2 linked regions of the Caenorhabditis elegans genome follow. The protein of the gene in region 2 interacts with the protein of the main gene of each other region in a biochemical or structural test. Each region holds a gene or a part of one and is shown on either strand. Other genes may lie near its edges.

Evidence for each region.
Region 1: the proteins of pdfr-1 (region 2) and pdf-1 interact in a test that uses a peptide from one of them, tested with the Caenorhabditis elegans proteins (one large-scale study listed by BioGRID).

The regions. Positions count from the first base shown.
Region 1 is NC_003281.10:6,909,020-6,914,207, forward strand, and holds pdf-1 (Pigment dispersing factor homolog pdf-1), read right to left. Parts: upstream 3,247-5,188; 5' UTR 3,181-3,246; coding exon 3,091-3,180; intron 2,048-3,090; coding exon 1,944-2,047; intron 1,141-1,943; coding exon 1,068-1,140; 3' UTR 1,067-1,067; intron 1,020-1,066; 3' UTR 571-1,019; downstream 1-570. UniProt on the Caenorhabditis elegans protein: Probable ligand of isoforms a and b of the calcitonin receptor-like protein, pdfr-1, a G-protein coupled receptor. May not signal through isoform c of pdfr-1.
Region 2 is NC_003281.10:6,647,906-6,652,955, forward strand, and holds the start of pdfr-1 (Calcitonin receptor-like protein 1), read right to left. Parts: upstream 3,121-5,050; 5' UTR 3,064-3,120; intron 1-3,063. UniProt on the Caenorhabditis elegans protein: G-protein coupled receptor for PDF neuropeptides. Plays a role in responses to environmental signals, including chemicals and touch, and in modulating locomotory behaviors. Capable of transducing signals via an adenylate cyclase acy-1 cAMP-dependent pathway.

The sequences.
Region 1 (5,188 bases), 260 kb from region 2:
TTTAATATTGCAACTTACTCATTCAACCTTTTCATCATTAGTTTTATGATTTCCAATGAACAGATTAAGAAAATTCAAGCCACTTTTCACGCTTCAGCACTAGAAAGTTTCTAGTAGAAATATATTCAAACAATAAACTTCCAAATCAGTTAGTTGTCCCTGGATCTCTAGATAACGCTTGAGACAATTGTTTTAAGTTCATATTTTTGAAAGTAAAAACTTATCTAGTTTTTTAGAACTGTGATATACTCAAAAATGAACCCACAAAAATCTTTTTTGCCTATTAAAAAGGACTTTTGCGAAGTTTTTCAATTTCGATTTCAGCTCGTTGAAAACTTTGAAAATCTTCATAGGAAAAAAACTTAGAACAATTGTTTAAGAAACACTTTTTTCTTCCGTTGGTATTTAAATTAATTGAAACATTTGTTATGCTGAACATAATATCTTTAAAAAATTTCACAATTCAAGAAAAATCTATAGTCTATCTTGGCAAATTATTCTACAACTACCTTGAGAAATTATCATTATCAAATTTGTATCATGTTCGAGTGTGATTTAAAAGTCAAAGCAAAGAAAAGTAATGTAACTAAAATTTAGTAGATTATTTTGTAAAAAGTAGAAAAACCAAGAAAATTTCATAACTTCCTGCTTCCTGTTCAGTTGAAAACGACAATTTAAATAAATATAGATAGAATATAAAGACACACACACAAAAAATAACACGACGAAACAAAAAGATTTTCGAAGATCTTTTCTTCACAGAGTACACATTTTTCATATCGGAAAAGGTTATGTCACACACACAAACAATGACAGTTTAGAAAATTATCAGAGAGGTTTTTGTTGGTGGAGGAGGGGGAGGAGTTGGTTCAAAAAACAAACAGACTAGGAACTGATTGGAGAAGGTTTTTGAGAAGGAAAAGATGAAGAAGATGACGATGAGCAGAACAGAATCGCATGTCAGAGCAGATGAGCGCAATAAAACCAATCGATAATCAAAACGAGGACCATAAATGTTTCTGAAAATTTTCGAGATTAAAATGGGATTCAGAAATATCAAGTGTACCTCATCGTCGACCAGCTCCAGACAATTTGTTGAGGTTCATGCTGAGAAGACCGTTGATAAGTTCCGCGTTTGAGCTGCAATGAAAACATGAGAAATTCACTGGACCAAGAAAACATGTGTTTTGAATCGTAAAAAAGACTAGTTTAACTGATGCCATAGCTTCAGTTTAGCGCTCATACGTAACTGTACGCAAGGCTGATAAGTTATGGTATAACTTATGAACCAATACTTTTTGGGCAGGTTCAAACTGAGCAGATCAGAAATCAATATAAAAAATGACTCATACTCTCTTGATTGAAAAACGTTAGAATTCATAATTAAAAGTACCGAAAATTTGTGAAAAATATGCTCGAATTAGAAGTTCTGTCTTCATTCTTACCTGCATACATACTTACTTACCTACCATTTTTGGCGTTTGCCTAGGGCAGTTAAGCGTATTTCTCATTTTCATTTTTAAATGTATTTTATTTCAATTTAAACATACAGTCCTAAAGGTAGGCATACTCCACACCTGCCTACCTACATGCCTAACCAGTGGCATTTGTCCTCATTTCAATTATCTTGTTGAAAATTCAACTGAGAAATAAAAATATTTTCTTTGGCAGTAGGCATAAGGTAGGCAGGTGTAGATCGATTGGAAAATGGTAATTTTGGTGTCAGATGTCAATATGTTCAAATTGAGTTAAATCAATTTCACAAAAAAGTTTATAATTGAATGCTATAACGTTTTGGTTCAGTATGAGAGCATTTCTCTAACTTTTTAATATTTAGAAAGAATTATAATAAACAAATTTGTATTTTTTCAGCTAATTATAAATAGATCTACTTTTAAACCGTGGAGGTACCAGGTTAAACAAACGAATGATAAAAAACTAACCGTTTTCCGACAGCTGACAATTTTCCCAAATCCATTCCGATGAGTCCGTTGATAAGCTCGGCGTTGCTGCGTTTTACGAACTGAACATCATCGTACATCTGATACTATAAAAACATGGATTTCTTTTTCATCAAAAAGCTTACCCTTACTCTCTTCAAATTCCGTTATAGGACTTTGATGATGCTACTCTATTTTTCTCCTTTTTTTTCTATTTTAAAATCAAATTTCACGTCATTTTGCACAACAAAATTGTGATGTTCCACTACTACATTGTTCTTTGCCGTAAATACTATTTTATTCTATGCACTTTTAGTAGTGTGATTTTTCTTTTTTTTTCCAATTTCACAACAAAAAACATAGAAAACCACCCACCAAGGGGTCAACGGATGTTCGTCAGTTTCCGAGGCATCTAATCAAGACAGAGGATAGGTTTTTGGCTTCTTTAGTGCTTTTCTTGTGAATCTTTGATTTTTGTTTGATTTTGAAAAGTCAAATTATCATCGGATGATTGAATTCTATAGAATAAGAACACTTTTTTTTAATTCTGCAGGTTTTGATGATACCTTCTGACACCAAACTAATAAAGGCAGTCAAGCTCGAAATGTATTGACACTGCTGACTGCGTTCCAAGGCAGGCACATCTTGCGTTCGTTGCCTGGTTCACGTCGCGTGCCTACTGGGCAGGCAATTCGGCTAATGTAGGTGTCATTTCAGAGAAGGTTTACCTGCCTTGTAGGAACGAAAGAAGGAATTTTCATACTCTCCCAGCGTGCCTACTGTACTGGGCAGGCACAGCTCTCCTGGACCTTCGCAGTGACTCGACGAAAATTTTGGTTCATGGCAAAAAAAGAAAAAGTATGTTTCTCTGTTAGGCAAGTATGCGGACATCTTTTGTCTGCCGAGGCTTAGGAAATATTTATTTGAAAGCCAAACATTTTAATCATGACCTAGCTATCATTTTATAAGTTCTTAATATTACTGTCTTAAACTAACTGAACCTGTGTTCTTGGGCACTATGATTTTTTGAGCATTTTCTTTGAAAACACTGAGAAATCTAACTTTCTTGGACGGTCAAGTAAATTGACTTGATCACAGAAGTTTCATATTTATTAAACCAGTTTGAAAACCCAAAACTCTAAAATCTAACCTGTGGAGCTCTGTATAAAAGAGGTGAAGCTGTAGATACAGCACAGAAGACAGCCAAAAGGGCAATCATTGAAATGATGAATCTGTTCATGTTGACGTTGAGTGAAGAAGGAAGAGGAAGAGCTGGAAAAGCTTGTTCACTTGGCTGTGAGGCACAAGTCGAATAGAATGAATGAGCACAACCGAGAGAGAGACAGATCTCTCTAGTTTTAGACTCCGCCTCTCTTCGACCCGCGCACCAAGAGGGAGCAACACGCCCACTTTTAAAACGCCCCGGAACCCGAGGTGAAAATATGACGGAAATTTGAGAGAAATAGAGAGAAAAGGAGATTGAAAAGTTTGAATTCGGAAGAAAGAAAAATGTCTGAATCATGTCGACGTCACTAGTGGGATAATCTTAATGAGATTGAGGAAAAACTTGCAAAAAATCAACTGCGACCTCAGGAATAGGAGTGCTCCATGCCAGACAAGGAAAGCTGAAGACTTGAAATCTTCAAAGGAGGAAGGTTGCACAGTTTTTGGCCATGAACTTATCAATTTTCAATCGACTGCGGTAAACTTTGATGAGTTTCAACAAACTTTCGAAAATACATCATGTTATCGATAAACTCTTCAAAAATCAGGAAAGTTTGTATAACCTGGAAAATCACAAGGAAGAAACAAAAAGTATCCAACATTTCAACAATTCAACAAAGATCTGCCACCGGATCGTATTCATATTTTGAGTTTTGAGTAGAAAATTTGCTTTCTTGAAAGTCTAAACTTTTTACATTTACAAGATATATATGATCATTAAAACATTCTAGCTTTCTACTGTTTCCATGTTTTTCCTCTACAAAGTTGTTCAATTCTTGAAACAAAATTCCTAGAGGCGAGACCTTGAAAAAATCAACAAACCTGCTATGCATAATTCATGTCGTATATACCATTAAAAATTACAGGTGAAATTTAATTCTCCGTTCTTCACATTTTCCGTCATTTTCATGGGAATTATTTTCAGATTGACACGAACTCTGACCACAAACAAAGCGGTTTCAAAGAATTCCCTAATCCTTTTTTCCTTTTCCCCTGCCTCTTCTGTTTAAGTCTAATTAACTAGAATCAAAGCATTGACAAATCAATGGGAGAGTTTTTAGTGAGCAATGATGAAATAAACAGAGATTTTATTTTGGGTGTACAATAGATTTTATGAACAAGAAGTTTTATGAAAGTTTCAAAAAGAGATCGTCAAGTATCTTCAATCTTAAAAAAAATATTTGGTGAGAGTGTTTAATTCAGAAAGTCTTAAACAGGTTTGCGTAGCAAAATTCACTTGTTTTTACAGCTTTTTGTTACCTGAGTCTAGTCAGCTCGTGCCGAGGTATAGTATTTTCTACACCAACATATTTTGCCTTCCACTTACACACTTACACACGTTTGGCTTATTGATACAAAAGAACGCCTTGAGAAACTAGAAAATATTTTGAAAATGTCGAAGGTCAAAAATAAATTCTCAGAAATATAGAGTCACTGGAATATTCAATACTGGAGAAAGAGGATTTCCTTTAGAAGTTACTTGTTTTGAAAACAAAATTAGTTTTTTATAAAACCTTATTCTTTGTCAAATTCTCAAGGAAAAATAATTTAAAACCATTTTTTGAACTTTTTAAACTTTTTAAACCGTTTGAAAAAAGGGGCGCTTTTTGAGCATTCAAGATGATTATTGTAGCTGGACAGGTTATGGGAATGTTCTCGATGGGCGGTCCTAACATTCATACATGAAAATTCTCAGCTACCGTACCCGTGAGTACGGTAAATTTAGTTGAGCTTGAAGTTTTCTAGAAGATCAAGGAGCAATACTATCTGGGAGTTTCCGAAAGATAAATGACGAGATACAAATGTCCGTTTTCCCATTTTTAATATTTAATGTAAAATTAATGGACATGATGATTCTTCGTCAACTCGGGAAGCCTCAATGAAAAAAAAAGGAGGAAGTAGGCGTGGAGAAGGAAGAGAGGTCATGTACAAGTTTCAGATGAAATTTAAATTACTAGAGAGAAAGATAGATATATTGTTTTGGTCTGCTAGTTTCGCGGGGAATTCCTTTGGTCCTGAGTCTT
Region 2 (5,050 bases):
TTTGTTCAATGTATGTAATTATCATTTTAATTTAGAAAATTAACTGAAAAGTTATTAAGCACTTTGGCAATGGGCAGGTATTTTCGAGTTTCAAAAGCTTCTTTTCTGGTCAGCAAAGTACTTGGAAAACTTTTTCTGCGTAAAAAGGTTTCAGATTGCAAAACAGGAAACGATTATGGAAAAGTGACTGGGAGAAGGCTAAGAAATTTATAAAAAAAAACCATTCCCCCCATGTGTGTTCTGAATTTCTGCCTTGATGCCGAGCTGGTCGCGATAGCCAGTCAAATGCACTCACCAAACCACATCGGGAATAGCATCCGAAGGGGGCTTTAACCATGCGGGTTTGACTCAACTAGCTAGAGAGGAGCACCGGCGGATGTATCATCATCATCCGACCGCTCGCGCCAGATGGCTCCGAAACCGGTTTATCCAGGTAAGAAACTCATAACCTACATGGGTGTCCAACTCCATGTTGACCGCCCAGTATAGTGGGTTGGGGATCCACCACTGGGGTCAAGCCGGAAAGAAGTCTAAGAGAGAACTGGCGGTTGCGGAGTGCCATGCAAGAACGAGAGATAAGCGGTGTGAACGATATAACACGAGAAGTTACCATGAAACCCCCTTTATTAGCTCGAAAGAATATAGAAAGAAGGGGAACTGTCGATAAGGGAATAGTTTAACGTGTCATTAGCGGATGTTAGCGTCTTCCGTATAGGAAGATTGCTATACAAGTCACTAAAGCGGGTGATAAACTATTAAGGGAATAAATAAAGATAAATAATTATAAAAGAAGAACGATCCGCAGGAGCGGTGACGAGACGAGTGAAGGGAGTTGAGTCGAAACTAATTTAGGCCAGCGAATTAGGACGAGCAAGGAGGGCGCGCGGTGAGACCCGCGGCGCACACTCGCTGCGAGACCATTGAGCTTGGCGGGAGATTCAAATGAGGGCGCGCATTAGATTAGAGAAAGGGGGAGATAGAGCGACTGGAAGGAGCGGTTTATAGGTTTTCTGGTACGGCGAACACGATGGGAGTATTCGCGAGTGTCTCAGAGTACCAGATAATTGGGAGATGGGACCATCTCACAACAGATCATAGAAAATTTATATATTTTATATCTAATCATGGTGCATATTCAGATGAGATATAAAAGTGTTCTGGAACAGAGTACTAATAATTTTTGCTTATCTCAAGTGGAATGTTTTAACTGATCGTAAAATAAATCATGGCCGAAAATGGTACCATTTTTCATCTCTAGGAACTCTGTTCCGTGTTTTTCATATTTTTTAACTGCACTAAAGATCAGGTCATGTAGTTGTAGTACGGAGTACACTTCAAAATTCTCATAGTGCATCCTTTTTATGGTTCTTCATGAAACCCTGCTATTTTGGTCTAGATTAATATTGCAAAAAATAGTTGTAGAACTTCAGATTGAAAACCCAGATTCTCTTGCGTTTCAGACAATCTACATCGACGAGGCGTCGACGCATCTAACCCGCCTCTTTCATCGCCACCCTCGCGCCCTTTCTGTCACTTTCACTGGAAAAGTACGTTTTACTGTATTTTCTAATTTTTTTAATACATGGATTTTAAAATTTTTTATAATATATTATAACCCACTGGAACCATGTAGACGATATTTGAAAATTAAAATGTATAAAATTGAAAAAGTTTTGTGAATTTTTTATTCCCGATATTTCAAGTTTGGAAGGAAATTCTAAAGACTTTTCATCTAGTTTCAAGGCTATGGTCATTATCAAGTAGATGGAACAAGAAAGTTTCAAGAAGTCTTTAAGGAAACATGAATGAGTGGTCCATCATTAAAGTGAATAGAAAGAAGGAAAAGCATCAGAAGACATTAGTTTATATCAAACATCCATCACGTGACTCTACAGATCTCATTCTTCCCTTCCTCTTTTCACTTCAATGAAGAAGAGCAAGATAAAACTGACGTCTTCAGCTTTTATCCTGATGAAATTCTTGATTCTTCAAGACTTTCTTAGATTCTCTTTGAATCCGACGAGTCATTTCTTCAGAAATAGTGAAAATATTGAGAAAAACAGAAAAAGGAAGGCGACCGTGAATTTTTAAGTTTTTGTTTCAAGACTTAAGTTAAATTTAAGAATTCAAGATTGCAAACTGCTGAAAATCTCTAGAATCCTAGAGTGTTTAGAAACACCAAAAGAAGAAACAACAAGACTCGCTGGGGCAGGAAAAGATATGGAAAATTGCTCTGGCCCAATTTATTTTATTTTTGCTCTTTCTCTCTTTCTCCCTATATTTTTTTTAACAGCGGGGGCAGCGTGGGTATCCTCTGGAGAGTAGAAACACAGACAACTACCCTTCTGAAAATGTTCATTTTTTCAAGGGAAAAGGATTCTGCAGAATAGGTTACAGGAATTGAATGAGAAAGGTCATAAGGTTTTTGTTTTACAAGAAAAGATTAAGCTTTAGAATAGTACTACTATCATTAATCAACATTAAAAAGTATTCAAATACCAAATCTCCAAAAAAGTTGGGAGGTTAAGGAAGGCAGGTAGGTAGATTGCAGGAACGTATACAGGAAAATTTAAATGTTTACCATATAAGGTTTAGTTTTGATAACGAATCGTATCATCTTCAAAAAATAAAAACATGGTTCATCGATTTTCTATAAACTTCAATATGTTCTATTTTTACAGTTTTTTGATAATTCGGTTGTGAGGAGCTAATACATATGAAAGCAAAACTGAACAGACAAAAAACATAGCAAATGTTCCGGAAAACTGAGAAAATCTAAAAATATCAAGTTGGTCTGAAAATAGCATTTGTAAAAATTCAATTAATACGAAAATAACAATCCAAGAAAAATGAATTGTCTAGACCCATTCAAGGTCGTTTATTCTTTCAAACGTTTTTTGGAATCCCTAATTTTCAACTTCAATAAAATATTTGCAAAAATCATGGGAAATGCGAAAGAGTATAAACAAAATGAACTTTAAATAATGACTAACAAGAAGAAAATAATTAAAGAGCGGAAGAACATGTGTAATCCAAAATAAATCTGATAATTGGTCGACTTACCATTTTTCAATTCGACGTTTGACCAATTCTTCGTTGTCTTGTTTTCACTGGTCTTACCTGAAAAATCAAAATTATTTATTTTAATTTCCAAAGCAAATATGAAAAAAAACTGCGGCGCGGAACAAGAAACGTACTCGAAGAGGTGATTGGATGAAAGGAGAAAAAGTTTAACCAACGTGAAAACCCGGGGCCATGAATTGGATTCGAGTTCGTCTTCTACTTCTCCAAGATGATTGGATTTTTCAAGTGGATTGCTGCTCAACGAGGAAATAGGCACAAAAAACTCGTTGGAGTTTCCCACACACAATTTGATTAGATATGGGACGATCATATTTGTGATGATGGTGGAAATGTGCAAAGTCAAGTTTGATTAGTTATGGAACACCTTCTGTTCCTTCGGAGATGAAAAACTCAGAAATTATTGAAAACAAGTAGATTGAAGTAGAAATAGTGGAAGTTGAAGACATCTAAAACATCACCAGATTTTTTTTGTGATTTTTCTTCAATATCTTAAACTAGAAAAAGAAGTTTAAAGGTTTATAAAGCTCCACAACTGTACAGTTAATGTAAGGTTTTAGGGGACGCACGATATTCAGTTCTAATTTGAAATTGAGTTGTCTCGTTTTATACAATTATTTAAGGACACATCTTACTGTATCAATGCTTTAAATTCACATGACATTTAATGCCAAATGTATAGAAGTTAAATTCAAACAGAATGCGTAGAAAAAACTTAAAACTACTCTAACTGGACTAAAAATTATCACTGAAACTCTACAACTGAAACCGAAAAGCCAAACTTTACCTTGACATTATTTCACATATTACTTTTTTTTGGAATAAAAAGGTTTGCAACATTATTATTTATTTGAAACCAAGATTAGCTCAAAATCTTTGGAATGCATAAAATATTATAGGTTCTAAGAAAGTGTACCGCAATATTCGCCCAAGAATAGAATCAAACATTCAATTAATAACATTCAAGCAAGTCATAAATTGTGTTTTCTTGTTGTTGTCAAGAAAACTTGCTCCGACATACATAAAAAAGAGCCTTTGGGGGCAATAAAGCTGAATAATTAGGTGAACGCACGACATAATTTTACTTTTAAAAGATTGAATGATAATAAATAAGGACGATGAAAGAGAGTGAAGAATATTTTCTGGCTTTTATGGAAATTAGGTTCTCCAGAAACAAGGACATACAGAGATGGAGAGAATTAGTTTTTTGCAGGAAGAGAAAGATGGAGAGCAAGAAAATGTAAGATTTCTGTGAAAAAGTTTGTGTGAGAAAAGAGATAGGTCATGTGTAGGAAGAGGTAATCAAAATGCAAATGTGTCGAAAAACGTGAAAAAGAAAGTTTCTCTGGGTGATTTTTGATGGCTTCAATCGTTTTTCAAGTGAAGACAGATAGAGAAAAGTGGAAAAATAGTTTTAGAGACTCGGTAATCGTGAAAATAAGAAGTTTAAAAATTAATCATTCATTTTATGTACCGTTTAAAAATTTTGAATTGAACGAAACCTCGCGAAACAAGACATTTGCATTTTGAGAGAAAAATCTGAGTCTTCTGTGTAAGCACTGTTGCAATTACATGAGATCAGCCATAAAACTTAAGCAGTTGTGTAATATTACAAATTTATTCTGATAAGTTGTTAGTTTTCCTTCAGAATTTGTGTGTGTTAATTCATCCATTCAAATAAAGAATTTAGAAGCCCTACTCTCAATCCGAAAAATTCAATTTCCCCCATCATTCGGAGAAATCCTGATTATGGGAATTTGACTTTTTGTGAAAAACTAGAGTTTAGCAATTGTTTTTTTTCCGAATGAGTAATGCCAAGTATTTATTTGTGGAAATGGCTTACTGTCTTACATAAAAATTCAAGACAGTAGATTCCTCAATTTAGCAATTTGACCACAGAATGTTAACCATCACAATTATTTGTTGGAAGACTTTTAAAAAAATACCAAAAAATGTAAATAGTAAAATT